4 linked regions of the Oreochromis niloticus genome follow. The protein of the gene in region 1 binds, or shares a complex with, the protein of each later gene. Links are inferred from orthologs where the notes say so. Each region holds a gene or a part of one and is shown in the gene's direction. Other genes may lie near its edges.

Region 1 (7,937 bases):
TGTGTGTCTCTCTTCTTCTTTTTTACGCTCTCGCTTGTGTTTAATGGATTTCCCAGAGCATCAGATCCTGAACAGCTGTAAACAATATTGGGGTTTTGGAAAGGGATAGCCACTTGCCGCCATATCGATTGCACCTATCTGATTACACCGTGTGTGCAGACTCCTCCCTTTATGGAGGGGATAACTTCAGGACAAGTGGAGGTTATCACATGTTTATATTTACAGCGCTTCCCTTCAAGTTTTGAACTTGACAGATAGTGAATGAAGGTTTAGATATTAAAGCTGGAAGTCTTTCTCTCAGTCTGCTGCCAACCACTTTCCCCCTGTGTGTGTCTCAGCTGTGTTTGTGCGATTTGTGCTTTTTGTGTCTCTTCTTCTTCTTGTCGTCTCTGTCACGCTCATGTTCTTGTCGCCTCCTCTTGGATTTACATTCACTGCTGCTGCTGCTGTCGCTCTCAGACTCCTTCCTCTCCCTCTTCTTACTCTTCTTCTTTGCTTTCTTTTCCTGGAGAATAAGCGTTAAAAACAAAGAAGTTGCACAAAAAAGCAGTTTCAATACCTAAAAACCCAAACACTGAAGTATGTTCCTCTTAAATCAGCACAAAATCATTTTTCCAGGCAACAGACTTCCAATGTGGTCACAACAGCATGTCATGCAGAGAGACATGTGGGGGTTGTTGCATCAGATGAAAGAGAAAGAGAGAATCAGCAAAGGAAAGTTAGAGCGGAAAAGGAAGCGAGAGCTGTGCAGGGCTTTAAAGGTCACATCGTCACCTTCTTTTTCTTCTTTTTGTCTGAATCTTGATTTTGTGCAGCTGTAGATGGTTGCTGCTCTGGCTCTTTATCGTCCTCTTCAGGCAAGAGAGCGTACTGCAGGCCAGGAGCAGAGAAACAGTCCTTTGTAAAGTGACCTGAAGAGAGTAATAATTTATTTAAGAACCGCGGTGTGAATTCAAGCAAATCAGCCATCTGTGTGAAACAAGCACAGTCTCTTTGACACATCACACTACTCATGATGTCACCTCACCCTTGCAGCCGCACTTTGAACACGTTGTGTTGAGCACAGCCTCCAGCGTGATCCTGTTGCTGGTTTGGTCTCTAAACTGCTTACGCCGCCTTGAATCCTGCCTATAAACACACACAGAGACGTTAACAACACACACACACCTGTGCAGACACATGAAAACACACAAAATGAATCCGTAAGCACTTACTCTGCCATAACATTGTTGGGGTCCAAGTCCCGCCCTGTTCCCTGATTGACGGCTTTCATGGAGAAAGACAGCTTCACCTTGTCACCCTGAATCTAATGAGCAGAGGAAGAAGCTGTAAACTTTCTGCTCAGTGTGTGTACTTCTGTGACTATCTTTATGAGAACCAGGTTGTATTTGAGACCACTGGAGTGGCAGTTTCTGACACCCTTTCATGTTTAAGGGTAAAGACGGGCTTTTAATGTAGCCTTTCTGGGGTTTGAAGCTGAAGAATACCTTCATTTAATGAATGTTGTCCAAAACGTGTGATATTGTTACCTCTCTCCCTATGACTTTAATCCACACATGTTCTCCCACATCCACAATTTCTGAAGCGCTCTCAACCCGGGAAGCTGACATCTCACTCACATGTACCAGACCTGTGAAAACAAAGGACAAAGCTCATTTACTTAGATATCACCTAAAATACATTTATAGTTTCAAAAGTCTTAAGCAAACCCTCATGTCTTTATATTTGGAACCAGACTTTCTTTCGTAATTTTTAAAACGGTCAAGAGCAACAGTTCTTCAGCCCTTTCTGAAGGCCAAATGCCACATTACACAAGAAGTGGATTGAAAATCAGTTGCAACAGGTCTTATTGAGTTATGAATCCAAAATTATTATTATTTTTTTTTGCTCATATCGTTGTCAGTATGTACAGAGGAGGTCATGAGAGAAGTACAAGAGTGTCTACAGCCATCTGTAAAACATGATACCAATGCAGCAAAAGCACACCTAGATAGGAAAACTTATAATGCAACACCATCAGTCATGGATTAGCCTCCCATGAGCTCAGATTTCAGCATTATTGAAACAGTGTGGGATCATCTTTACAGAGAATGGAACAAACAGCAGCCAACATCCAAAGAAGGACTTTGAATGTCCTTCAAAAAGCCTGGAGAACTATTCCTGAAGACTACCTAAAGAAATTACAAGAAAGTTAGGTAAGAGAGTTAAGGCTGTTTTGAAATATAAACGTGGTTATAACAAATATTAACTTTTGAGCTCATTAGAATACAAACTCTGTATTTCCATTCATGTTTGCACAGGTTTGAATAAATCACTGCACCCATTTTTCTCTTTCCCAGCAAAATATAAAGAAATAAGGAGTGCCTCAAGACTTTTGTACAGCACTTTATGGTCAGCATTAATGACCTACAGAAAAGGTTGACACATGAATACGTGTTGGATGACAAATGAAAACCCAAATACTAAATTAAGAATCAAACTTATTTCCGGCTGTTATCAAGCTTCAAAAACATTTGACCAACTAAATCATATAACTGTGGCTTAATCATTACATCTACTTCAAACCACTTTAACTGACTCACTTCAAAGGGAGTGTAATTTAAATGAAGCAAACAAGTTCTGTCCAAAACATTTTTTTAGGCTACAGGTTATTAAAGTGTGAGCACAAGTTGTTCAGTTCGCCCTCCAGTGGTGAAAATGAACAGCTGCTGTTTAACTGGACATGTAGGTCAAGGCCAAGCCACAATAAATCATACTTCATTATCAAAGAGGTAACCCAAGTGTAAATATAGATACGAGTCATCCCACTTCATCAACGTGTCCCACTTCTTATCAACCCCGCCCAAACCCATCCTCCCACACCTCCTGTCTGTACACACACATCTTCAATTTCTGTTGCTATGAAGATAACACAAATGAATTATAATAGAAGAAACTATGATTGTACTAATAAACCAAAAAGAAAAAAAAAGATTTAAACATAACAACAATGTGAAATGTCTTACTTTGACCTGTGTCTTTGAAGTCTTCCGGCCTTGTCTTCTTACTCACAGTGAGACAGTACACTAATTCAATTCAATTCAATTCAATTCAATTTTATTTATATAGCACCAAATCATACCAGCAGTCACCTCAAGGTACTTTGTATTGTGAAGTAAAGACGCTACAATAATAGACAGAAACCCCAATAATCAAATGACACATTAAGAGCAAGCATTTGGCACCAGTGGGAAGAAATCCCCAGCAGAGATCTCCAGACAAAACAACACTTTTTTTTTTTTCTTTCTCCTTTAACCTATTTTTCATCTGAATAATCAAATGTTTTCACTGACCTTCCTTCCTGTATCCTGGCAGTCGGACAAATGCTCCATAAGTTTGCACTGAAACCACCTCTCCTTTGGCAATGCTGTACAGTGGTGGCAAACCATCCAGCCCAGCCGGCTCTGATGTTCGGCGGTCACGGTCGGACATCGTCTCAAAACAGCCACGGTTACCAATAACTGAATCTTGCACTTGGATTCCCACAATCCCTGAAATGGCAGATCAGGTGCATTTATGATCTCTGTTTTAATCTTAGTGAGTTTAAACTCTGTTCGCTCAGAATAAACTAATTCTAATTTTCCAAAAGTTGAATCTGTTCATCTGGACGTAGCGTTTTGTGGGAGAAACGTTTCGTCACTCATCCAAGTGACTTCTTCAGTCTCAGCTGACCTGCAAACAAATTCTAATTTGTTTATTTGTAGGTCACATTCTTACATGGCGGGTACTTTTGCATTGTATTTGAATTTATACATCAGTTTTCTAGTCTTTATGACCACTTTAAACTACAAGCACGCTTTAACTATACATTCATGCAGCACTTTTAAGCACTTTATTCACCTCACAACCACAGCCAATTTAGAATCACATAACATGTATGTCTTTGGAGTGTGGCCAGAAGCCCAAGTACCTAGAGGAAACTTGACACCAAAAGGCCACTGCCAGGTTCTTTCCTGGTGTAAAGGCAACGGTTCTCACTACCCCATGATGATGGCATCCTATTTCAGATCTTGTGTCTGTGCCAAGGCACCCTCTGACCTCTGTATGACCTCAATATATGAATACTTCTATGCCGATTTATTATTCCATGAATGGAATGTACCATTTTAAAATTCCCTAAAACCAACATTTTCTGTTATTTAAACCACACTGGTGGATCTAAAATCCATCTGAATAGATACGACCTAGAACAGCCTCATTGTACAACACTATGAATTTTTAAACATTTTCATTTTCGTGTATTTTGGGTCACTTTAGGAAAAGTCATGAAATTTCATGCTAAAACAAAGACATATTTTTTTTTACTGAAGTCAAATGTCAACACAGTTCATTTGACCCTAACAGTATTCAAAGGCTAAATCTAAAAAGAGATTTTATTATGTGCACTGATTATTTTACCCCCACTTTAAACTCGCATGCTGACTTGCTATTCAGCCGTGTCATATTTTTGTACCTGAAAGTGATTTTTATGAGCTTCACAGCTGTGTTGAATCTCTTGGATAGCAATAAAAACCTATTAGACTCACTTTTTATCTCAAACACAAAAACTGAATGGAACAGCAGCTCCTCGGCTAATGTTAGCCACACTAAAGAGCTATAATAAATGAATAAACAGATATTGAATAAATAAAATATGAACAAGAAAATAGGCCCGCGCCTGCTTAACGTTCTAGTTTATACAAATAAATAAACATAACGTCATGCAGCAATAATTTAAGAGAAAATAATTTAAAAATGATATCAGCGTTACCTTTCGGATTGATACGATGGTTATTTTACATCCGGTTCAAAACGTTTCAACAACAAGCGAAGCGGCTAATCTGCTGCTCACAATCAGCCAATCATCTTAGCCTTTGCAAACCTCGACCAATAGTATTCCTCGCACTCACAGGAAGTACTTCTTCTGTGTTGATACGTTGGTGCTACTTCCTCCGACGTCTCGTATGAAAGACGTCCATTCATTTTTTGTAAATTGTAGCATTAAAGCTTTAGATTTTTGCGGATTTTTGTCCTGTAAAGATGATTGAGCCTATGAAGAGAGCGGCAGACATGGCGGTGGTTCCTTCCGCCGTGAAGCGGCCCCGGACGGAGCTGATAGCGGCGGCGCAGTCTCAGCAACTCGTGGCCACGGTACGGAGGGTAGCTGTTACTACAACCGAGAGGGGTGGCTACTGAAGTAGACTCAAACATTTAGAACAAGTAACCACACTATACTGTGTACGCTTTATGATTAATTATATATAAAGCCGCTTGGAAAAAAGTCACATTTTCCCTTTGTGGTGATTTTAGATTCATTATCTGGGCTGCCAGCGAGACAGATAAACATGAAAATAAAATTAGCACAGCATTAGCGCTCACTTTGATGCTTTTTACAATGTCTCCTACACCCAGCTGGATTTGGGTAAACTATTGTTGTTTAAAAAGAGTTTTTAAAGTGATCACAAAACATGTTCTTTTGTATTCTGGTTTAATGTTTTATCTTTTAAGGATAGAAACCCTCTCAGCACCATTGATAACACCAGCTCCAAAATAATGGGGGTCAGGCAAAGAGATTTGTGTTCACACTGAGAAACTCGGGTGATAAAGAAAGTAAAAGACATTATTAACTATCTTGACCACCATTTCTATTCTGAATTCAGGAAGTTACTCCCAGGTAACCCCTACTTTATATGTCAGTGTAGAACAAATAGATACTTAAAGTCTTTTATTCCTTTGGCTGTTAAATCACTTAACTCTGACATTTCGACTATTCAAGATGGGGCTAGGATTATGTCAGAGTTCGGCTCTGAACCCCTTTCTCGTTTGCAGTCTTGATGGACAGGCTGAAAGATGAGGCCAGGCAGGAGTCTCAGTAGACTATGATGTCTGCAGCCGATCTGTAGTGAGAGGAGGGAGCAGGGCGAAGACAGCCTGGTGAGGTGGAAGTATGTGGTGGAGAGAAGAGGAATGAAAGTCAGAAGACACAAAACAGAACACGTGTGTGAATGAGAGGGAGACACATCAAATTCCAGTCTGATGGGAGGTGTAACAGTGAAGGTATATGAGTTTACATAAATGGAATCAAACATCCAAAGCAACGCAAAGCATTAGAGAGGGGAAGAAGAGAGTGCAGCCAGGATGGAGTCGATGGATTGTGGAAGAACAGCAGCAGGAGGAAAAGGGAAGATGGCAATGAGACCTGCTGTATGTATGGTTTGGATGGTAGATGATGGCACTGAGAAATTGAAAACGCTCAGATTTACATTGGGAAGGACCAGAATGGACAATATTAAAGATGGTTGCATCAGAGGGACATTGCAGATTGAGTGGTTAGAGAGGGAGCTGAGATGGTTTGGACATGTGCAGAGGAGGGATAGTGGACACAATGAACAAAGGATGTTGAAGATGGAGGAAATAAGGAAGACCTCAGAGAAGATTCACTGATGTAGTGAAGGATGTCATGCAGAGGGTTGGTGTGACAGAGGAGGATGCTTGGGATGGAGTGAGATGGAGGCAGATGATCTTTGCAGATCGTCTTTATTCGCATTAAAACACCGGCATTGCATTAAATATGACCTTGACATTTGTTTTTGAGACTATTATAAAAAAAAAACAACACTTTGACCCACTTTCACAGTCCATATCTGATTTTATAATAAATTATAAATACAAGCTAAAAATGTCCAGTATGATTAAACCGGATAAGTTACCTGAATATTTATAAACAAGATATTCAAACCTTTAATCGTCTGCCTCCAGATGTATCAGTTCTTTCTCCAGTGCTTCTACCCTCCCAGGTCACCTGCCAGGACGCGTTTCTATACCAACAGCTGCCTTTGCATCCCGGCTTTTGTTCCCACAAAGAAAACTGATCAGGAATCAAGAAAGAATTGATAACGGTAGCCTCTCCGATACTATTTTTTTAGAACGAGGATGTAGACAGGGGTGTCCAGCAAGCCCTTACCTCTTCAACTTGTTTATCGAACCTCTAGCCCAGGCTATACGTCAGGAAACATCGTTGAAAGGGATTGTAATAGGAGGGGACGAGTACAAGGTGTGTTTATACGCAGATGATGTCTTGGTAACAATCACGGATCCCAGCTCAGGTATACCAGTATTAATGGGGATGTTGGAAACATATGGCCTGTATTCAGGGTATGTTCTTAATGTCAAAAAAACTCAAGTTCTGACATTTAATTTTTCTCCAGACCAGACATTATTGTCAAAATTCAAGTTTAATTGGAAGGCAACTGCTATCAAATATTTAGGAGTGTTTCTGCCTAAAGATCTAACACAACTGTATGATATTAATTACAGTCGTATTAATAGAGAAATATATAGCGATCTCAACATTTGGGCCTTGCTCCCTCTTGACCTTGGCAACAGGATACAGATAATTAAAATGAGTATTCTTCCCAAACTACTCTATCTTTTCCTTGCTTTACCTATTCAAATTCCAGAGAAGCAGTTCAGGGAATGGAATAAACAGATTTCGAGATTCATTTGGCTTAACAAAAGACCAAGGGTGAAGTTCTCTACTTTGCAGTTGCCGAAAGAAAAAGGGGGCTTGGCTCTACCTTCATTAAGGGATTACTACTTATCTGCTCAGCTGAGGTCTTTGGTGTGTTGGTGTAATCCATCTTTTTGTGCGAGGTGGAAGGCGATTGAGATGTCTCTTTCGGACACGCCAATCCAGTCTAGACTTGGTCACACAGCTTCTGAATTGGACGGTACCTTGACGCCCAGCCAATGGGTCACTTTTACATTAAAAATATGGAGGGGAGTGGTCAAGCAGGCACAACTACAGGAAGAGATAAAACTTCTGAGGTGGCCAGCGTATGACCCTGATTTTTTACCTGCTTCCCACGATAGTAGATTTAAACAATGGGTGTGCCATGGAATTACTGCTAGGTGTTCGG
Region 2 (6,556 bases), on another chromosome or scaffold:
CGCATGCCCCTACCCCGACTTCCCCTCCCCATCCCCAGCCCCAGTGACAGTGATCTCTTATGCTAATCAATTGGTGTGTTTTTTTGATTGACTGTTGTCAATTCTGTTTGTTTGTTTGTTTCCATGGTGACTGAACCAGAAAATATGTAAAATAGATTTAAAAAAAAAAAAGTTCAGTCCCCATCGCTGTTCACATCAAAAACCATCAAACCCTGAAAACACCATCTCATAATCACAAAAACTATGTTACAAAAGAAAAAAATCCTGTTAAAACAGGAAACCTGTGACGGTAAACACTTGTGTGTGTGTGTGTGTGTGTGTGTGTCTGAGAGAGAGTGAGTGAGTGTTTATTTTCGAGTGATGTCAACATCTTCCTGCTCTCACCTTAGTCTTAACTCACTATTTATAGTGGCCAATCAGAACCCTCCCTCAGCATCCCTGAGCCAAACAGTCCAATAGTTGCTGCTGTGCTTTGGATTAGAGCGTTCTGATTGGCTGTTTCTATGTGGATAGTTGTCATTGGCTGTTCTGTTCTACCCAAAATTTTCTAAATGCTCAGATGGGTTTTTTTTTTTTGCAAGCAAATGGCTAGTATGTAGTTAGCATTAAGCTAGCAGACGCAGAGCACAGGGCTAGTGTAACCATAATTATATACACAGTACAAGGGAACTACTATCCTAACTATGTTTACTAGCTAATAAACATAGCAAGAGACTTGTAAGCACATGGGTAAAAACCGCTAACCAAAGATAAAATTTAGCCAACATTTTTTTATGTTAGCACACAGCTAGCCCAGTACCAGCACAGTCTGTGTATTGTTAGCACAAACCTTGCACTTCACTAAGGTATGGTTAGCTGTAGAGCTAAAGAATGTCTTTTAGCATCTTGACTATAAAAAGGCTGAAACAGCTCTATTGGTGGTATTCCACTGACACCTGAGTAGGCTAACTTGATCTAAGGACATAACTATCATATGGCTAGCAGACACTGAACAAAGGGCTAGCGTAATCATAACAGACATAACACAAGGACCATAGGCTGGTTGTGTTTGATATCCATTTATTATTATGTTTATTGGCTAATCACAAAGAAAGAACTTGGTTGGCATATATTTAAACAGCTAGCCAAGGCTAACATTTATCGTAACATCCTATTGTATGTCAGGACACAGTTAAGCACAGCTCGTGCCCATTGTTAAAATCAGGCTAATGTGTTAAATAAAGACTTTTTTCTTATTTGCATTAGGCTAACATAACAGATAATAGAAATACATTTTAGCATATGACCAGCAGATGCTGAACACAGGGTTTACGTAATACAGACAATGCTAACATAAGGGTATTTTAGCTTCATTGAAAATCTCTTACTGATTTTTGGCTTATGTTAATGCATAACTTACATGTTGATAACAGAGCTATAATATAGCTTATGGTTAGTACTAAGTTACGGTTTCTAATTTTAGCAAAAGCAGTATACCACACATCAAATTCAACTGACAAGTGAGCAGCCTAACTTGGTCTGAGGACATTACTAACATATGATTAGTATGTATCTAGCAGACACTGAGCATAGGGCTAGTCTAACCATAACACATGACTATACACATAGAACAAGAAAATTAGGCTTTCTATATGTAACACCCATTTCTTGCTATATTTATTAGTTAATAAGCATAAAAATAATTTAATTAGCATATGAATAAAGAGCTATCCAAAGCTAAAGTTTTTATGTTAGCACACGGCTAGTACCAGCACAGCCCTTACAGACCTTTAACATAGGGCTTACATTTGCAAAACAAAGTTTTTCTCTTGTTAGCAAAAAGCTAACATGGGAGATAATAGAACTACAGTTTAGCATGTGGTAGTTGATGCAGAGCATTAGAGCTAACATAACTATAACATGTGGCTAGTTGCACATAGTACATGGATGGTAAGTTAGCTGTACAATTTTTCAACACTTATTTACTAGTGTGGTTACAACTTAACATAGCAAGGGCTTGGTTGGTTTGTAGGTAAACATAAGAGCAAGGAGCTAAAAATGTCTGCTAACAAGAGAGTATGTCAGTTTTATGTCAGCCTCTACTGATTTGTGGTTTATGTTAGCACATGAGTAACATGAACTATAATTTAGCTTGCGGCTAGCATTTAGGCGAGGTAGTAGCTACAGGTTGATTAAAGAGACCTAACAAGGTCTAAGGAAATGGTTCACATTGCTAATACAGAGCTAATGCCTTGAATTCAGGGCTAACACGTAGATGTTAGTGTTTTAAGGTTCAGCCAAGAGAACTGCTCCACCAATGGGAACAAGCCACAGGGCTGAGGGGTGTGGCTTCACAAGGGTTTGATGAGTGAGACCTAAAGCCATACACACTGTGTTTGTGCGCATGTATTAACATTACCATGTGTGTGGGTGTGTATTTGTTAGAGCCTGTATGTGTGAGTGTGTGTGGGTGTGTGTGTGTGTATGTGTGTAACATTGCAGGGATTTGCACTCTAGTGATTCACCTCAGCAAGACATCCACCCACCTACAACCACACACACACACACACTAACACACACACACACGTGCATTGCACTGCCATTTGAAATAGTGGGTCAGATTAGTTTCCATGTAGCTTCACCAACCAACCAAACTGTATTTTTCTTTAAAGGAACAGGGATGTTGTAAAGTATTTTTGTACAAATTTAATACTTTGGTAGCATGACGTTCCTGTTGTTTGTCCTGTCGGGCTCCACTGCTCTCCTCCACCCGCCTTTGTATGGACGATTACTGAGCAACAATAAAGATGAAGACCTGCTGGGAGAACTGGACTCTGTGTGTTGTCTGACATCAACACTCACAAGTTTGATTTTTTTTTTCTTAATACATATTTCATTTTATGTCTTTGACAGAAAGAAAAGCAAATTTGATGACCTGCCTGTCTATCCTGTGCTGAAAATTCCTCAAATACATCTTACCACTCATGGTTACCACTATTTTAATTTTTCAAAATTACATTAAAGTGTACGTAATAGTTATGCATTTAGAGAGTATTAACTAGATTTCCTTAAATTATCCAAAGATCTCAAAACTGTTTTATTCCATGTTAAGCTAATTTTAAATGCTTAATATTGTATTTGGTAGTTAAATAATACGGTAATGGCTTATATTGGTAAAAATCATCATAATTTTTTAATCATCCTTTCCTGTGAGAACCACATAACAGTAAAAAAAAAAAGAACTTTTCTAGTAGTAAGTTAACAGAGCAGTGCAGGATGTTCTTTGTCACGTGGACTTTTCAATGATTATTTTTGAGGGTAATCATCATTGTAAAAAATTTAGGTTTTTCAGAATTGTTTAAGGAATTATACAACAATGACCAATTTTCTTGTTTGTTTTTTTCTAGTTATAGGAAATGACATCACGTCCGGTGTCCATTTTGTTTGTGGATCACATTTGTTTATATTTCAGAAGAGTCATAAATATTTTTACTATTCAAAGAAGCATCTGAGGGCTCTGAAAATATATTGAAATAAACAGGAAATGATTCTTAACTATGATGGAGCATAGGAAGGAAAGAAATATTTAAAATCATTTAAGATAGTAATTAAGGGATAGGGTGAAAAGCGAGAAAATAAACTCAGATGTTTTAGAGTCATTAAAGAAATAGTCAAAAAGAATAGTTTATCATATAAATTTACCAATTTGTATCATAATTTTGTGTCTTTTCTCTTATAAACTTGTCATGTTTTCTAGTAAATTTGTCATTTTTTTCTTTTGCATTTCCCATTTTTTCCCACCTTTTTTTATTTCTTTAAATTTTGCAGTTTTTAGTGTTTTCTTTTTGAGAACTAACACAAACCGGATGTGACGCTTCCGCTCGGCGCTCTGCTGTCGTTCCTGCTCACTGTTTGATTGCTCTAGTCTGCGCTCCAGTGTGTTGTTAGCCGTTAGCTACTGCTGCTGTTCGAGTGCGCACGGTTTTATTTTGTCACCGGACTACCACTATAAGTATTTATCGACCACCCCACTGGATAAATAGACACCGAGCCCGGGACAAAGGATGTCCACTGCGTTGGAGAGCTACATTAACCGTATCCTTCCGCCGTTAGCCACTAATGTGCAAACCCTCTGAATGAATGGAAAAATGCTAGTTAGCTTAGCTGCATGCTTACTTGTTTTGTTAATTAGCGGCAGTTCAGAGATGTCTGTGAGAAACGGGTTGTTCAGAGCTGAGTTAAAACATGTTCAGACTTCTTAAATGTAGATTTCACATTTAAAATGAGGGAAATCTCGGGATTTTATTGCCGTGTTTGTATTATGTGGACCCGCTGATCAGAGAAGTTCTGTAAATGATTTCACAGTTTGATTCATGTTAAGATCACACATACACATCAGGACTCATCACATCTGGACCACTTTGAAAAACTGTAAACTCTTCTTTTTTTTAAATTTTGGAAGCATGCAACTTACAGTTTTAAAGCTGGAGCTCATTAACAGACAGAAGCTAAGGTTACAAGCGCCTCTTGTGGACAGAATGGGTGGGCGGCATAGCTTTCAATTTTGGTGTTATGATAATTGTTCTTATTTGTACGTTCTGAATAATATTAGAGAGGTTTTGGTCCATAAAGGTGCTGTTTCTTTAACTCGTGCTGATCCAGGTACCGTGGCCATTGTCACCTCGGACGGCAGGATGATTGTGGTGAGTCTGAACACATCCTTACCTTTACTGGACGATCACCCGGGATCAAAATCACTTTAAAAAAAACTTTTAATCAATTCTTAAATTATATTGGAGACAAATGCATACCGAAGACTGGTCAGAGCCTGGTGTGTTTAAAATCGTGTCATACACAAGCAAGTGCACCTGGAAGCAATGAAAGCATTAAAGTCGTTATTCATTTATATTTTAAACAGCAGTGGGCCCTGCAGAACTTCACCACTCACAATAATCAGGATTCACTGAAGTCAGAATTATTTTGGATTGTAAGTTATTGTTATTGTAAGTCGTGTCCTCATTGATTCATGTCAGTTTGTTTTTTCAGGGCACTCTGAAGGGCTTTGATCAGACCATCAACCTGATCCTGGATGAGAGTCATGAGCGAGTGTTCAGCTCCAGTCAGGGGGTCGAGCAGGTGGTGCTGGGACTCTACATTGTCCGAGGCGACAATGTGTAAGTCACGTTTGACCTTTGTTGATGATGAATCAATACTGAAGATAACAAATTAGTAAGGCCTTAATGTGAATTTTAATCTACAAAATCAGATTAACATGGTTTACCAATTTTATTATTTTATTAAGATATAATTTGTTATTGCAAAATGGGGTAATTAATAATTAGGAGTTAAGAAAAAACTCCCCTATCAGAGTTTTGTTTTTGTTTGTTTGTTTGTTTGTTTAAAATTATTTTTATGAAGGAAAACCAAGAGAAAGACTCTTATTCTTAAACAAGGAGGAAAATGATGTGTGGGGATCCATACCTACATAGATAGATAGATAGATAGATAGATAGATTCGTTACATTGTTTTATTTTAATGTAATGTAATGTTTAAATATTGTTAACAGTTCTGTTATGTAATTTGTTTATCATTGTTTATTGTTTTCCTTTCATATTTTATTTGTTCTTCTTGTTTGTTTTTGTTTGTAATCCCCTCGTTTGTTTTCTTGGTTGCACTTTTTCTTGTTTTGGTTACAGAGCGGTGATCGGGGAGATCGATGAGGAGACGGACTCCACTCTGGATTTAGGAAACATCAGAGCTGAGCCGCTCAACTCTGTCGTTCACTGACCTTTGACCCCTGATGATAGCGTAACTGTTGTGTGAATAAAGTTTATGGGAGTCTGTTTTAGGAGCAGGTGTGCTAATTATCCGGGATGAGCCGGAGCGTCCTGATAACTTGCTCGCCTGCTTCCTGTCTCTGACTCCTGGCTCTTGTTTTCTGTTTGTACTTTTTATAAATAAAGAAGTGAGATGATGAAAATGTTAGAGGAACTTTTTTATGCTCCTAAGTCTTTTTGTCAATGTGAGACTGTTAATAAATAAAGTTTAATTTGTTGTGTTCTGAAAAAGAAAAGCGTTTTTGTTGTTTGTTTACTCAACAAAAATGTTTGACAAATTATATTTTTTAGTCAGAGGATATTGATCAGAGGAAAAAGTGAAAACTTTATGAGAAAGAAATTAGATTCTTAAATTTGAGAAGAAAAGGAGAAAAATCGAATAGCTTCTGAGATAAAATATGCCACAACCAAGATTCAGTTCTTCAAGAAGCGATTTTTATTTAAATGAAAGATCTGCAGAGCCAGCAATAACATGACAATTCTAAATGAATCCTTACATCAGTCACACGTCTGAGAGCGGGGAGGAAATAGATGGTGGAAAGATGGCGCGAACACTAAAGGTGTGAGTAACACTGATATCAATGAAGTGACAGATCGATAAATACTGAAGTTTTACGTGAGGGCCATGGCGAGGAAAGCTTAATGGTTAAAAACAGCTGGATAAAATCACCTGAAGACCAGATAAACTGAGGTAACAAGTTTAATCTGCCTGTAGGAACAATGTGAAAGCTGCTGCCAT
Region 3 (7,398 bases), on another chromosome or scaffold:
TTTAATACTTTTGAATCTTTGCGATGTATGGGACATCATATGTTGCTGTTTTCTCACAAGCATCTGATGGGTGGCTGTAGGATGACTTTGGAAATCAAGAAGAGGAAATGAGTGAAGACAGGGCTAGGGATTAAATGGTGGAAGTTGAAGAAGAAAGAATGATGCATAGAGTTCAGGCTGCAGTTGAGACGGGCTCTGGGTGGTAGGGAAGGGTTACAAATGACTGGAAAAGTAGAGTAATGAAGAAGTAGTGAGGGAAACTTCCAGGAAGGTGTTGGACGTATCCTTTGGATAGAAGAAAGCGGACTAGGAGACATGGTGGTGGAATGAGGAAGTACAGGAAAGTATTCAAATGAAGAGGTTAGCAAAGAAAAAAATGTTGTGAAGTCAGGGAGATGAAGAAAGTCGACAGGAGTATAAGAAGGGAGGATAAGAAAAGAGAGAGGTGGCAAAGGCTTATAGTGAGTGTGTATGAGTCTGGACATGAAGGAAGGGCAAAAGGACTTGTATAAATTGGCTAGGCAGAGATGGATAGATATACTAACAGATGAAAAGAGTGTGTTGAGAAGATGGAAGGAGCTGATTGTTGTAAAACATGAGAGAGAGGAGGGCAGATGGATCAAAGCTGGTAAATCAAGAAGTGCAGAGCATTAGTGAGAGCAGCTATGAAGCACAAAGAAATCCATCTGGTCCCGATGACATAGCTGTGAAGGTATGAAGATGGAGGGCAGGGGACTTTCTCACCAGATTGTTTCACATCATCCTGCAAAGTGAGAGAATGACCGAGGAAGGGAGAAAAGGTTAGCCAGCACCAATTTTCAAGAACAAGGGTGACGTGCAGAGCTCTGACTACAGGGGGATAAAGATGATGTGGCATACCATGAAGATAAGAAAGCTGTTGAAGCTAGTTAAGAAAAGAGGCTGAGACAGAGCTCTACAGATGGGATGTTTGTTTTAAGATGTTGATGGAGAAGTATGGAGAAGGTCAGGGCGAGCTGCACTGTGCCTTTGCGGATCAGAGAATATGATAGGCTGATGATAGGATGCCAAGACAGGAACTGTGGCACTGATGGGTTCATGGTGGGGGTGGGATTACATCAGAGATCAGCTCTGAGCCCCTTCTTCTTTGCAGTGTTTATGGAGAGGTTGACAGATGAGGTCAGGCGGTCGTTGTATACGCGATGTTTGCAGATGAGACTGCGATCTTTAGTGAGAGCTGGGAGCAGGTGGAAGAGATGCTGGAGAGATGGAGTATACTCTGGAGAGAAGATGAATCAAAGTTAAGAGAAGCAAGACAATCCATTGTCATGCTGGTGGCATAAATCGCAGCTATGAGACTGCAATTCAAGTTTTTCTGTTGCCTGATTAATTTTGATTGCTGGTTTGGACCATCAAAACTACCCAGGGCGTGATTTTTCTTTCTTTTTTTTCTTCTTTGTTCTGGTTGACAGGTTTTCTAGCAACCAACCACATGATATTTCTAACCCCAATTACATGGGAGTGTCATTCAGAGGCGGGAATGTGATAGATAAAGGCTGGAGTTACAGCATGCCACCGCGAAATGTTACCTCTGGGGGACAAGCAGGAAAAGAGCCAAAGAAGGGTTACGATGTGAGCACACGCAGCCCCACGGGAAAGCCTGCTTCTGTGTAAGTGTGAGCCTCTTTCTGGTTTGAAGAGACTTCAGTTTCATTTCTAAAAATACCTCCAAACCTTTATCTGATCTGATTCTATAGAAAGGGAAACCAATGTCATTAACCGATGATTTCTCTGACAGGGGTGAGAACGGAAAGACATCAGAGATGTTTGACAACCCGTTGTATGGTTCAGTGACCAAATCACATGGTCGGTCTAAAGACCAAGACCAACAACAGAAGGACCATCTCATACCCCCAGATGTGCTATTTGGATCCTCCAAAACAGCAGACGGAGATACCGATCGCCCTCCAGTGCCCACCCCACGCAACCGCTCCTTCACCTGCTCTGAGAATAAACCTCAGCCTCCAACACCAGTCAGCCTGCATCCCCCATCACAAAAGAAACCAGTGGTGCCCTCACGCTCAGAAGGCGGGATGGGCCAAAGCCGGCCTCCTTTGCCTGCTAAGTCCCGACCGGGTGTGCCGGAGCCCCAGACCCCCAAACCAAGAGACTACAGAGACACCTCAGAGCTCACCAGCAAACAGAGACCACCAGGAAGACCTGGTGAGTCTTGCAAAGACAGCAAGGAACATCCTCAGGTTTCCAGACAGCTATAATACACTAAATGACATCTCTTTGTCTTTTTTTGTGCATCCAGACGTTTCCAAGATCGGTCGCCCTGTGAAGTGAGACTGAGAGGTACACCTTCCTGGCTGCATTCCTGGAAATATTTTTTAAAACCCCTTGCTACTGGTGTCACTCATTTTAGAGGACAATCACATATCTGTGCTGTCATTATAGAGCAGTCAGTTGGCTTAGCTTTGCACCTGTCCAAAGGTCTAAAAAATTCATCTGCCTGTCATCCTCAAAAACTCACTTTTTAAGTTAGACTGAGCCGGGCTAGCAGTTCCTCTTTATTTCCAGTCTTTATGCTAAGCTAAGCTAACTGGCTTGTAGTTAGCTTAGTTATCTACTTATCTAAGTGCTAGTGAGACATTAAATGGGCGTACCAGTGTCTAACTCAGCCTTCAAATGTATGTAAACTCATTTTTTAGTTTCTCGGACTTCTGCAAAGCTCACATTGGAACGTAAGTTTGAACCTGGAACCTGCTTCTAAAATAACTGTTACATTTCATTTGGAGTTTTTACACTATACAGTAGCTGATGAATGTTTACCGCACAGTATTATCTTGCACAGACATGTTTGCCTTTAATATGTACAAATGATGCTCCAATGAATTCCAATATTAAAGCTTGAATTACATGTTTTGTGTGTGTGTGTGCATGTCTTTTTTATGTCAAGTCACAAATGACTGCTTTTAAAACTTGGAGTGTTGGCCGCTGCAATCTGCTGCGAAGACCAGACCGGTCACACTGCAGTGATTTGCCTCCATCTGCTGGTCCGTAAAGGAACTGCAGGCAGTCTGAGAAGGGGCCTTTCTAGCTTGGTGTTACTGGAAATACATCTACATTTTCTCTTTAATCAGCTGTGACTAAAAAGGTGAGGTGGCACAGTTCCTGATGTGCACTTTCACTACAAACTGCTTCTACTGCTACGCCTCTTCATTGTTGTAAGGCTGCAGCCTGTAACCTCCACCCATCTCGCTTTTGTGCCTCTGCTTTTGCTCCTGTTCCCATGAGAGACCCGGCTATTGTAGCTCAGCCAGCACACTCATCTCTCGTTTGCCTTTCTTCCTCTTTCCATCAAAGGGTCATGCTTACTACATGTTCTACACACCTTAAAGCTCCTCATCTTTATTTCATGACACATGTTTACACACCCCAGTTCTTCTGTGCAGCTCCATGTTTGAGTATTTGTTTGGCTGGAAGATGCTGCATATTTGGGGAAGACAGTCAAAAGACACGAAACTTTCATCAGGTCACCAATAGTTATAGACATGGTTGAAGACGTGTTGGTGTACATTGGCTGTGTTTTCTTGGTGTTGATGTTGAGGCTAACAGCCGAGCCAGTTCTGTTGGTTTAGTTGGTAACTCTTCTGGAACTGGCTGAGGAGAGAAGAGCAAAGTCTTTGATGAAGTCCAAGTGTGTGAATGTACTCCACTGCATATATTTTACACATATGTTGACTTTAAAATATGACTGATATAACACCAGCGGTTGCTGTGTTTTCCACCCTGAGTATTTGAGAATTAGAAGGTTTTCCTTACCTTTCATGTTATATGTTGGAAGTTTATAATAAATGCATCCAACGTTTCAAATGACTTCTTCTAGGAGAGGGTGTGGGTCCTTAATTTAAAAAACCCAAAACAAAACATGAACTTTCTAATAAAAATGACTTTTAAATTATATTTATTTAGTTTATGTAGCAGAAAAAAAATGCACAATGCAAAGACAGCTGCCACCGTAGTCCCTGTAATTACATTTCTGTAAATTTGTTTTTTCAAAATGTATTTTGTATTTTTCTTTGAACTTTGTCATTGTCACTTTGTAATTGAATTTTTGTTTTCAATTACAGACAGTTACTGCATATTTATTTAGTCTTTGGTTGCACCAGAAAAAAAGAGTTTGTATTTTCCATAAGCAATTTTTTTTAATGTCAACTGACAGTGTTAAGCTTTTTTTATTATTGTCTCTTTAAATTATATTTTATTTTATTTTATTGAAATATATTTTCATATGAAGTTTTTATTTATTTATTTATTTTTTTGAAATCACAATAAAATTAAGTCAATTAGATAAACACCTGTGCAAGCAACGTTTCCCATACATGAACGTTGAGCTTAGCTCTGTCGCCTCTGTGTGGCGAACTTTAGTAATTACACCCTGGTGTGTCTCAGAAATATTAAGGGGTTGTTACGTCATCGACAGGCGACGCGCGGCTAGGAGAGGGCAGCAGTAAGAATGGTAAGGAATCACGATGAAATTATGACTTTTCTGTAGAGTTTATAGCAGATACGTACGGCCGGAGAGAGCCTCTGACCCGGGCACACCTCGGTGTGTCTCTGTGACCTTAATTCTGTCAGCTTTAAAAGAAACCGGCCGCAACGCTAACCGTGCAGCTAACGTTAGCATGTGTTTCTGCTCCGCAGCTTTTTTACTCGTTTTTCAAGTCGCTGGTGGGGAAGGACGTCGTGGTGGAGCTCAAAAATGACCTGAGGTTAGTATTCGTGTTCAATTCGCTCACATAACCTGCCGTTTTCCGGCCTGTGTTGTTTGGTCGGCGATCGCTGTTTGGAGCTTTGTTGATAGACGCAGCAGCGCTCCCACAGTCACAATTTGAATATTAATTTTTATTAGTTTTCATTTGAATTTCACTTCATTTCATTGCAGCAGTTTTTAATACTTCTCAGCTTTAGTTCCGTTTTATTGGATTCTGCAAGAATAATCCAACACAAACAGATGACTCTCAATCATACACATTATCAGAAAGTCAAGCCAACAACATTTCCTGTGTGTTTTACTCTGTGGTTGTTCAGTGAAAGGCCTTAGACAGCGATCAGTGGGCTCTGGGTCTTCATTATGAGCTCAGCACTGAAATATTTATTACGTATTACTGTAGCTGTCACTGTTTAAATGGAACTAATCTGCATGAAACAGTTTTATTTCTTGTAACTGGTCACACTGATGACTGATGAAATGATTGTCGTGGTTGACTTCTTGCTGGAGATGTGTTTTGTTTTGTTTTTCTCAATAAAATCTGAAGTGACTTCAATTGAAACTGGACTAAATGTAGCTTAAAGCAAGATTATGAATCCAGGTTGCAGCCTGTCAGGTCACAGCCGCATAATTACATTTGTTTTAAGATTAATTCAACTTTTATATGTCATAGACGGAGTAGATCAAACAAACTACAATAAGATTTTCTTTAAGTCAAACTGTTCCCGTCTCGGGGTTAAACTCTGGAGCAGGGTCTTGATGCTTGTCAGTAGTGACGGTTTTAAAATGTAACAACAGGTTTGTGCTAATGCCTGTCGTTTCCAGAACAGCTTCTAAAATATGTGCAAGTAACTGCAGATGTGGACAAAACATAGATGTATTAAAAATATTATATTTTGGTGATAATTCTTATTGTTTCACCACCCAGACCTGTGGAAATAAATGTTTAAATATCCATAAATTAATCAATAAGTGGCATGGAAATCCTGAGGTCAGAAAGAAAACCTCAGAAGTTGCGTTTGCTTTACCTGGGCACACCTGACCGTAAATTCCACCCAAATACTGATGAGCTGTTCCCAAGCCTCATAATCTAAAGATTAATTGAGCAATTTTGGTTTGTATTTGTGAACAGAGTCATGTTCATGAATGTGTGTTTCTCTCCTCAGCATCTGTGGAACGCTTCATTCTGTTGACCAGGTTGGAAATAATTCATTTGTTTTAAAACGGAAGCTGTTCAGCTTTTACATTTCTGCATGATTGCTCACTAAAATGCCGTTTTCACATCGCTTTCAGTACCTGAACATTAAGCTCACAGACATCAGCGTCACAGACCCGGAGAAATATCCACACATGGTAAGTTTTGCTTCTGGAGACTTTCCACATTTAATACAGGGGAAAAAAAGACTAAAGAAACAGATGAGGCTGTCGCTGCTAAACAGGTGTTTACAGTTTTACAATGTACAGAAAAAAGAGCTGTTGCAGTGTACTTACAAGGTTTAAGGTTCTGCTACAGAGGTCTGTACAACCAGTAAAAGAAACTAAATTCTCTGCTGCTGTATGTGAGAATGTAGAAATGTCGCCCTTCTACCTGATGAACCTTTTGATTAGATAAATATTCCAGCGGTGAGAGTGCACGCAGGACTTCTGTTTTCCACACAGAATGATGCATGATAAATATTTAGGGGCTCAATTATCCCCCAAAAAAGACACACAGACAACAGCTCCTCCCGAGTTTATATACAGATATGTTTACATAAATATCTTTTACATTGATTATGTTTTTCATGTATTATAACACATAAAGCTTTCAAGATTTCAGTCTTTGTTTTCATCTTGTATGTGAGCTCCATTTGCTGCTGCTCAGTTTTTATTGAGGTCAAGAGGAAAAAGAAAAGTTGGATATTTTTATAATACAACATCAAGAATATAACTATAAACTTTAGCTCCTTATTTAAAAGTTGCATAAAATCAGAAACGAGTTCAGTCATTAGGAAAGTCCTTGGATGTGCACTCCTTAAAGCTCACCAGCAGCTCCAGCACAGAGTGACGGCTGTCTGTCTTCACACTGACTGTTTTCATTTGCTGCAGCTGTCTGTGAAAAACTGCTTCATCCGTGGATCGGTGGTCCGTTACGTTCAGCTGCCGGCAGATGAAGTGGACACTCAGCTGCTGCAGGACGCTGCACGGAAAGAAGCCATGCAGCAGAAGCAGTGACGGGGCTGCGGGGCGGGGTGGGGGTGGGGGGGTAAGGAGAACAATGAATGGGTAGTTCTGGTTTTGGGTTAAGTTTGTGCAGCCTCTCTTTGTCTCTGAAAATGTGTCTTTGACATTGGGGATCAGTCATTAGCAGTTTTTGTTTTTTTTAACCTCAAAGACGGTTTGGACGTCGTCGTTTGATCCCTTTTTTTGGTTTTATATAGAAGTAAACTAATCAGAGAGTCCAGAGAGGAAACCTGCTGTGATGTTCATGTTGATGATAACAGGCACACTTTGCTTATCAAATTGTGGCTTTTTTTATGCCTCTTGGAAATAAACATTATTTTATTTATATTTTCATGACGTTTGTGATTTATTAATTATTTTAGGATGATCTTGGTGACATGTTGGAGGATTTGGGGTTTGCTGTTGAAGAACTGTTTTTC
Region 4 (7,835 bases), on another chromosome or scaffold:
TGAAGAAAGAATTTACACACCTGATATGTGCAGGTCTTAACCTACACACACCTGATGCACCAGGTCTGTGTAGGCTTCCATTACACTCTGAGTGCCTGACAGTATTCATGTTTACTGTTGCCATGTTACACAGAAAGGGAATGAAACCCAACACTGTGCTTGGTCAATTACATGCAGCATTACAAGATTGTTGACACTGATGCTGTTCCAGGAACGACACCAGACTTTGCTGAATCGTGCATTTTCTGCTGTATCGCAAACGATGTGTTAATATAAATAAAAAATGACTTCATCTGTAGTTATGGTGAAAGGAAAGTGCACAGTAATTTTTAAGGTTTTACATATCAAGATGTAATAAAACATTATCTAGGTGTTATGAGCACTTCGGTAAATACAACCTTTCAACATTTCAAGCAGGTTGAGGTGTGGACTTTGGGTGGGCCATGGAACACCTTGATTGTTTTCTTTTCCAGTCAGAAGTAGGTAGTAGGTTTGCCACTGTGCTTGGGATCATTTGCCTGTTGCACAACTCACTTTCACTTTAGCTGTCAGACAGATGGCTTCACATCTGACTCTAAAATAACTTTGGTTTACACAGAAGTTCACAGTCAAGTCAATGGCTGAAAGATGCCCAAGTCTAACCATCGCCCCACCAATTCCATGTTTAGGAGCTGATGTGAGCGGTTTGTGTTGCCATGCCATTTGGTTTCACCAAACCTGACACAGTGCATTATGACCATAAGTCCTGAGATTTGTTAAATGAATATGAGACAGTGTCATATGTCATATTTTGTTATTCGTCTGAGGTTGTATTGATCTAATTTACCCAATTACCTAAATTATTTTTATTATGACCTGATAAATAAAATCTTAGACCCAATAAAGGGTGTACTTTATACAATCTTCTTTTTACCATAATTCTAATTATAAGTTTGAAATGGTAATGTCACCATCTTACATGTAGCTGTCGTACTTTTTCAGAAAAGTAAATTGAAATCTTATTCACACAATGATAAAATACAGGTCTGAAAGTGGTTTTAGTTGGGCTACTTACAGTGGGTACCACGGTGACAAAAAACTGTGAGCCATTGGTGCCGGGGCCTGCGTTTGCCATGCTAAGTGTGTATGGGCGGTCGTGTCTCAGCGTGGCGTGGAACTCGTCTTCAAACTCCCCTCCCCAGATGCTCTCTCCTCCCATGCCTGTTCCTGTGGGGTCTCCAGTCTGAATCATGAAGCCCTGTCAACGACAAAGAGACAAACACTCAGAGCCGGAATCACACAGTTGATCGCCAAGCTTCATAAAGAAAAAGGACAACGTACCTTGATCACTCTGTGAAATATGTGGCCATTGTAGTATCCATTCCTGCTGTGGACGCAGAAGTTCTCCACAGTTTTGGGGCATCTAAAATCAAAGAGAGGAAAAGTTCTGTTTCTGTCTTCTAAAATGAAAGGAGGAGCCAAAAGCATTCACACTGAGGACTTACTCCACAGGGAAAAGCTTGATGTGGATGTCTCCCATAGTGGTGTGGATGATGGCACTGTCAGACACTCTCTTGGGGCCCTCGGCCTGCGTGGCGGCCATCACCTCTTCCTTTGAGGGCTTCTCGTTAAAGATGTCTCTGTCCGAATCGGCGCTCTTGGTATCCTCTGGTTCTCTCTTCGAAAACTTCAAAAAGAGACGACAAAAAACTTATAGTAAGAAGGGAAAAAAATGTAGCACTGTCACTTTGAAATGAATGCCTTTCTGTCTCACCAAGTAAAAGCGGTTCTTCTTAAAAGCACTACAGAAGATGGTTGGGTCAGGCTCTACGTTCTGTAAGGCAGGGTTGTCAGAAGCTTTCATCTCCACAGTGGGTGCCACTTGCATGGCCTTTGCAACACCCTGGAACAAACTCAGCTGAACCACACGGATGTTCTCTAGCTTCCCAAGGATCCGCACACATCTAGAAAACAAGAAACACAGGGCTCGGGAGTTATATGTCTATATAACTCTGCATGTGAAGTGGTGACGTTATCACTTTTGATTTCATCAGTTTGTATACTACAATTAAAATACTCATTTACATCTCTTAAACATTATTTTATTACGAAACACAACTGTGATTTAGTCTCCACCTTCATTTGTGAGCATACCTGTTGGTTTCCACATTGATGACCTTGATGCCCAGCATGGTCCCATACAGAACAAAGTGGCCAGTCTCATCAAAGATGATGTTTGTCAACCGGATACCATCCACCTTCTCCAGTTCTCTCTCCACAGCCATCCGCCTCCCAAACTCCATGTCAGGAAGCTGCTGTCTCATCTGCTGCAGCTCTGTGAACATCTAACACACATATAGCAGCTGTGATTAGCGTGCAAAATTCATAACGCTAGCAATGATCCAGGCTGAAAGGTGAATGGCAGGTTACCGTTAATGATTCATCAAACACTCGCATTAGTTTTCCTGTTAGGAATCGGAAGATTCTGACTTTCCTATCAGAAGCGATGGTGGCCATCTTCTTCCCATCGGGGGAAAAGGCAAGGCTGGTGGGATAGGTTTTGTGTTTTGCAAATTCATACAAGTCAGTGTCCGTTTTGTATTCCCAATCCACATGTTTGGGGAACTTGAATTCATTTGGAAGGCCCGTCCAGTACTCCAGCATTCCCGCTTTGTCAGCAGACACAATGACTCGAAACTTGGGATTCAGGCGGATTTGGGAAAGCGGTGCGGAGTGCATTTTGTCAAAGACATGGAAGGGGTCATTGCCTCCCCTGCCATCATAGATGAAGATCTTCCCTGTGGACTTTTCTGAGCAGGCTACTGTGCAGATGGCATCTCCAGGATTATAGATCCACTCAGACTGGCCTGGATGAAAGCTACATACAGACAGATCACAGTAGAGAAACCAATCAAATTAAAGGAGAACTTGCACTCCAAATCTATCAGCAGTAAAAACATTATTGTGTCTAGCAAGAAAATTTTCATTTAGACTCACCCCAACTTCAGCATATTGATCATGTCAAAATTGACCACGTCAAATACTTTCATGGCCTGATCATCACCAACCGAACAGAAAAGGGCCCCTTCCGCACTGACCGCAATGCTTTCTATTACACCTGGGCAAAAAGCAAGAACAGTGTTTATACACATCCTTTTCACTCATTAAAGACACGTTATATTATAACATACAATGCACCGGGTCTCCATAACCCCCTCTCAGTCCAGTGCCACTCCGATTGTTAAAAAGAAGTTATCACGAATTAAGTTCATACCGAGATGACTTCGAAAGTGTTTGACAAACTCTATCCCCTCGTCCTCCTTCTTCTTCCAAAATTTGACATGGCCATCCTGGCTGGCAGTGATGATGAAGTCTGTCCTGAAACAGCACAATGTTATGGCGTTATTTCAGCTTCAGCCTACTTTTCCTATCCACATCCCATCTACTGATGGAGTTAGACAATCTTTATTTGAAGTAAAGAGAAAATTTTAAAAATCAGGATTGCGAATATGGATGCATCAAAGTTTTTCTTTGTTTGCCTGTTTTGTTTTGGGGGGTTTTGTCATTCAATTTATGCCAGGGAAACAGATAATAATACAATAATACACTTTCAGGCTAAAAGTGATGAGACCCAACAGATAAATGTTAGCCATTGCTGATGATAAAATGTCCTCTTACACGCTCACAGGTCAACAGCAAACAACACAGCTTATATGAGCTGATGGAACTTCATTGTTATTACAGATACAGCACTCAGTGGCTTTTCAAACAAACAATGAACAAACACAACCAACTAATAACATGTAATACAGCCTGCAAGGTTCCTCTATAAACAGTAAGCTGCAGGAAATTGGCATGACTTGTCACAGGAATGATAGAAAATACATCAATAATAATTATTAAAACGGCTGCCCACTCTTAAATAAAAGAACTACTAAATTCTGTTGCTTCGTTTAGATTTCCCAGGTGATGGTATCATAAACGTCACCATTTTAGGTTGACTTTTTTTTTTACATATTACTTTGGGACAAACATGAATGCTAACAATGGATCAGCACAAAGACAGTCCTGGAATATGAGGTATACTGGTAATACTAATAATTGATAGTTTAGGCATTTTAACATTGGATCGCTTTTATTAAGGTGGTTTAATAAGCTGGATGTAAGTGAGTAGTGCTGTAAAGTGGAAAAGCTTTCTCACACATATAAAGGAAAGTTTCCTTGTAGCTGCTGACTTACTTTGTACAAACTAAGTGTGTGATGACGTCCCTGTGCATATAGCTCCGTTCATACATTGCAGCCGACGGGAGGTTGTCCAGATAGACACGCTCGTACTCGAGTACTGAGAGAAACAAATACACACAGAAGTTAACGGACGGCGTTTGGCGCTTTATTAGCAGTGATTAGAGAGCAGTCGCAAAAAGCTGCCAGTGTGCCGAATGAACACCCAGAATCCCACCTTTTCTTTTCTTTGCCTTTGTGGCTTCGCTTGGCATGGGTCCAACCCACTCGGCATCTTCTTCGTCCCCATCCCCATCATGATCATCATCTACTTTGCGCTTCAGTTCCACATTCTTTTCAGTAGCCGCCATTGCCGTGATCGCCCGTGTGGTCCTTCCGTAAATACGGTACTTCCGTTCAGCGCCTAAATCTCAGATTTTTTGTGTAGTTGTTTTTGTTTCAAGTACAAGTTGCTAAAATTCTACAATTATTAATTATAAACAACATGTTATGTGTCTCACTTTTTCTCAAGAACACATAATTATTAGGATTAATGAGATTACGCTGTAATTACACGGAACTTGTTGTTTCCAGGGGGCAGTTGTGATAGCGCACTAGGAGCGATCCAAAAATCTGTTTCTCGGGGTGAAGTACCGAGCTTGTTTTGGATTGTTTTGTCATCAAAACTCTCGGAGTTTGATTCACGTGCGAATAAAAGTTTTTTATGTATTTTATGAAAACAGAAAAAAAAACAAATTAAGTGATGTTCTTTGAAAAAAACGGAACAGAAAATCAATAATTAAACCGAAACCCCTATGTTCTCGGAAGTAAACAATCAACTCATGTATTGCCAATATGGCTGTAAAGAGTGAAATGTGAAATGTATCACATTTAAAGTTACCTACTGTAACAAACTTTACTATCTGTATATTCGAGGAACCTAAAGTTCAGATCGTGTGAGAATATATTTTTTATTCTGCTAACAAAACACAGAAACGTAGCGGCAGGATGAGCAACATTTACATTCAAGAGCCACCAACAAATGGGAAGGTAAGCGCCAGTTTACAATTTGAACTTTAGGTTTTTCGTGCATAATATTGCGGATTTGTAGGTACCAATAGCTAGCCACTCCTAACACTGTTTAGCTCTGAATGTATAATTTCGTGGTCTTTTCGCAGGTCCTGTTAAAGACAACAGCAGGTGATATTGACATTGAGTTGTGGTCCAAGGAGGCTCCTAAAGCATGCAGGAACTTCGTGCAGCTGTGCATGGAAGGTAAGAATTCACTAAGGAAGTGCAGAAACCACTGGAGAATAACCTCAAATTCAGTTTGCGCTAAATTAGGCCGAATTATTCCAGGCGTGCCCTTAAAATATATTGGTTTGGTAAAACTAGCCTCTTTAAGTATTAGGCCATGATGCGTGTAAGTGTTATATTTTTTATCTTATTTTGAAGATTATTGATGGACTAAAATGTGAAGAAATTTTGAGTCTTAGACATAGTTACTTATATATTTCTTAAATGTTAGCAGTCGTTTTTTTTTTTTTTTGTTCACTTGTAAGCAGAGAAATGGCTGCTGTCAGTGTACATAAGACTTTTTTTTAAATCCCAGAACCTATATTCAGCTGAGCACTGTCTTTATTTAAATGTCCTTGTTGGCTCAGATTTCTTGATTGTTAGTAGGGAACTGTTGTTGCCTTATTGTTTTTTAGTATACAGTATGTCTTGATCTTCTAGGTTATTATGATGGTACAGTGTTCCACAGAGTGGTGCCTGATTTCATCGTTCAGGGGGGAGATCCTACTGGGACAGGGGCAGGTGGAGAGTCCATCTATGGCCGACCGTTCAAGGTGAGAATGCTTTTCTTCTCATTTTATTTTTAATTCTGAAGTGGATTTCTAATTCCTATGTGCAGGTGACACTAAAATACAATGTCTTCTAAACTTTCTGTCGCCTTTCAGGATGAGTTTCACTCTAGGTTGCGCTTCAATCGGAGGGGTTTGGTTGCCATGGCAAATGCAGGGCCACATGACAATGGCAGTCAGTTTTTTCTCACCTTGGGACGTGCAGATGAACTCAACAATAAACATACCATATTTGGCAAGGTAAAGCTGTAAGAACATGATGACTTATTTTCTATCTGTATTCATGAATGAATGCTGTCTTCAATGAATATATGAATATACCAAGATGAGTGCCATTTTCCCCAGGCAGGATGTGATAAGAGTGTGCCTGACCATTTCTATTTTCTGCAATCCCCACTCCAGGTCACTGGAGACACCGTGTATAATATGCTCAGATTAGCAGAAGTTGAGTGTGATGGTGAGGAAAGACCTCTGAATCCTCACAAGATCAAATCTGCTGAGGTATTTTAGTTCATTCTATTTTACCTGCTCAGCAATATGTTTAGTATCTAGCTTCTGTAATTTAAGCTTTTCTTTTTGTCTCTCCTAGGTGTTACATTCTCCGTTTGATGACATCATACCTCGTGAAATAAAGAAACTCAAAAAGGAAAAGGATAAAGAAGAGACGAAGAAATCACAGTCAAAAGCCACAAAGTGAGTGCTCGGCCTTCATCTGTCTTTCTGATTGAAACAAGATCAAGACTGTACCCAGGAGCACCTGCATTTTTGTACATAAGGGAATATATTATGCTCATTTCCTTATCTATATATAGATATTTTCTTGTACTTTACTAGAGTAGCTTTGTATGATTCACAGTACTCATTTGTCTTATACTGAGTCTTATACTGAGCCTTGGTCTATACTTCATCATCTATGTAAAACAGGTTAAACCTTTAAGGCAACCCATTCTATATGCCAACTTTTTTAGCTACCCCCGGTGTTGTTGCTCCTTTAGCTTAGCACCTACCAGAAGACTACAGAGGTCATAGACCACAAAGTTATTCTGAAGTGAAATCGAGTGTTTAAAAACAATGAAAGTGTCCACTGTAGCTGCTGTTTATGCTTCTCATACTGGTCACTGGTGGTCACACTGATTATCTCTTCATCATGGCACATGTTAGTAGGTGAGATATGTTAGACAGAAAATTAACTTTTTCCCCCAATTGATGTTATAAGCAGGAAAGATATGCAGTGGTCAGTGTCATTGGCGGCCAAGGCTCGTTGAGGCGCCTGGGGAGGGACATTTGGCCCGTGTTTCAATCCAACAATCTAGATACTGTAGCTCAAACTGCCAAAAATGTATTGCTGTTTCTGATAGAATCAGAATACACAGTACATTACATTGTTGTGTATGCATAGGCACAGTCCAGTTAGCATGCCCATGCTGACCCCTGTCCACCACAGAAAGTACCAAGCATCAGTATTGAACTACAGAGCAGTGGAAGAAGGTGGCCTGGTCTGATGAATTATGTGGATGTGCATCATTTACCTGTACCTACCATCAGGCCTCTTTCATTTTTCAGCAATGGTTTGAGGACAACAGGCGCAACAATGATTTTTTAAGTGTTGACTTGGCATCCAAATTCTACTTAAAGGATCTGTTGCTTGCATCTTTGTGCCAGATACCATAGCACACCTTCAGGAGTCTTGTGAAGTCAGGGGCCAACACAGAGGGACCAACAAAATATTAGGCAGTTGGCTATAATGCCTGATTGGTGTATGTGCTGTTA

The links.
Region 2: snrnp40 (region 1) and lsm8 share a complex: the UniProt entries of both Homo sapiens proteins name them as parts of the U4/U6-U5 tri-snRNP complex. The link is inferred for Oreochromis niloticus from reciprocal best matches to the Homo sapiens genes SNRNP40 and LSM8.
Region 3: snrnp40 (region 1) and smx5 share a complex: the UniProt entries of both Homo sapiens proteins name them as parts of the U4/U6-U5 tri-snRNP complex. The link is inferred for Oreochromis niloticus from reciprocal best matches to the Homo sapiens genes SNRNP40 and LSM2.
Region 4: snrnp40 (region 1) and cwc27 share a complex: the UniProt entries of both Homo sapiens proteins name them as parts of the minor spliceosome. The link is inferred for Oreochromis niloticus from reciprocal best matches to the Homo sapiens genes SNRNP40 and CWC27.

The regions. Positions count from the first base shown.
Region 1 is NC_031985.2:22,356,158-22,364,094, forward strand, and holds the start of snrnp40 (U5 small nuclear ribonucleoprotein 40 kDa protein), read left to right. Parts: upstream 1-4,937; 5' UTR 4,938-5,058; coding exon 5,059-5,169; intron 5,170-7,937. Other genes in the region: zcchc17 (zinc finger CCHC domain-containing protein 17), read right to left, coding at 335-505, 775-911, 1,028-1,128, 1,215-1,306, 1,530-1,630, 3,333-3,471. UniProt on the Homo sapiens protein: Required for pre-mRNA splicing as component of the activated spliceosome. Component of the U5 small nuclear ribonucleoprotein (snRNP) complex and the U4/U6-U5 tri-snRNP complex, building blocks of the spliceosome.
Region 2 is NC_031981.2:20,046,515-20,053,070, forward strand, and holds lsm8 (LSM8 homolog, U6 small nuclear RNA associated), read left to right. Parts: upstream 1-3,855; 5' UTR 3,856-4,043; coding exon 4,044-4,074; intron 4,075-4,641; coding exon 4,642-4,682; intron 4,683-5,025; coding exon 5,026-5,153; intron 5,154-5,676; coding exon 5,677-5,767; 3' UTR 5,768-6,048; downstream 6,049-6,556. UniProt on the Homo sapiens protein: Plays a role in pre-mRNA splicing as component of the U4/U6-U5 tri-snRNP complex that is involved in spliceosome assembly, and as component of the precatalytic spliceosome (spliceosome B complex).
Region 3 is NC_031986.2:32,801,986-32,809,383, forward strand, and holds smx5 (smx5), read left to right. Parts: upstream 1-4,383; 5' UTR 4,384-4,501; coding exon 4,502-4,504; intron 4,505-4,689; coding exon 4,690-4,757; intron 4,758-5,922; coding exon 5,923-5,953; intron 5,954-6,049; coding exon 6,050-6,109; intron 6,110-6,844; coding exon 6,845-6,970; 3' UTR 6,971-7,306; downstream 7,307-7,398. Other genes in the region: inpp5d (phosphatidylinositol 3,4,5-trisphosphate 5-phosphatase 1), read left to right, coding at 1,452-1,649, 1,778-2,202, 2,297-2,328. UniProt on the Homo sapiens protein: Plays a role in pre-mRNA splicing as component of the U4/U6-U5 tri-snRNP complex that is involved in spliceosome assembly, and as component of the precatalytic spliceosome (spliceosome B complex).
Region 4 is NC_031972.2:12,013,609-12,021,443, reverse strand, and holds the start of cwc27 (spliceosome-associated protein CWC27 homolog), read left to right. Parts: upstream 1-4,821; 5' UTR 4,822-5,208; coding exon 5,209-5,250; intron 5,251-5,378; coding exon 5,379-5,475; intron 5,476-5,937; coding exon 5,938-6,050; intron 6,051-6,161; coding exon 6,162-6,305; intron 6,306-6,467; coding exon 6,468-6,566; intron 6,567-6,654; coding exon 6,655-6,758; intron 6,759-7,835. Other genes in the region: ppwd1 (peptidylprolyl isomerase domain and WD repeat-containing protein 1), read right to left, coding at 1,055-1,237, 1,321-1,402, 1,485-1,666, 1,754-1,943, 2,134-2,324, 2,410-2,857, 2,977-3,097, 3,254-3,357 and 2 more. UniProt on the Homo sapiens protein: As part of the spliceosome, plays a role in pre-mRNA splicing. Probable inactive PPIase with no peptidyl-prolyl cis-trans isomerase activity. As a component of the minor spliceosome, involved in the splicing of U12-type introns in pre-mRNAs.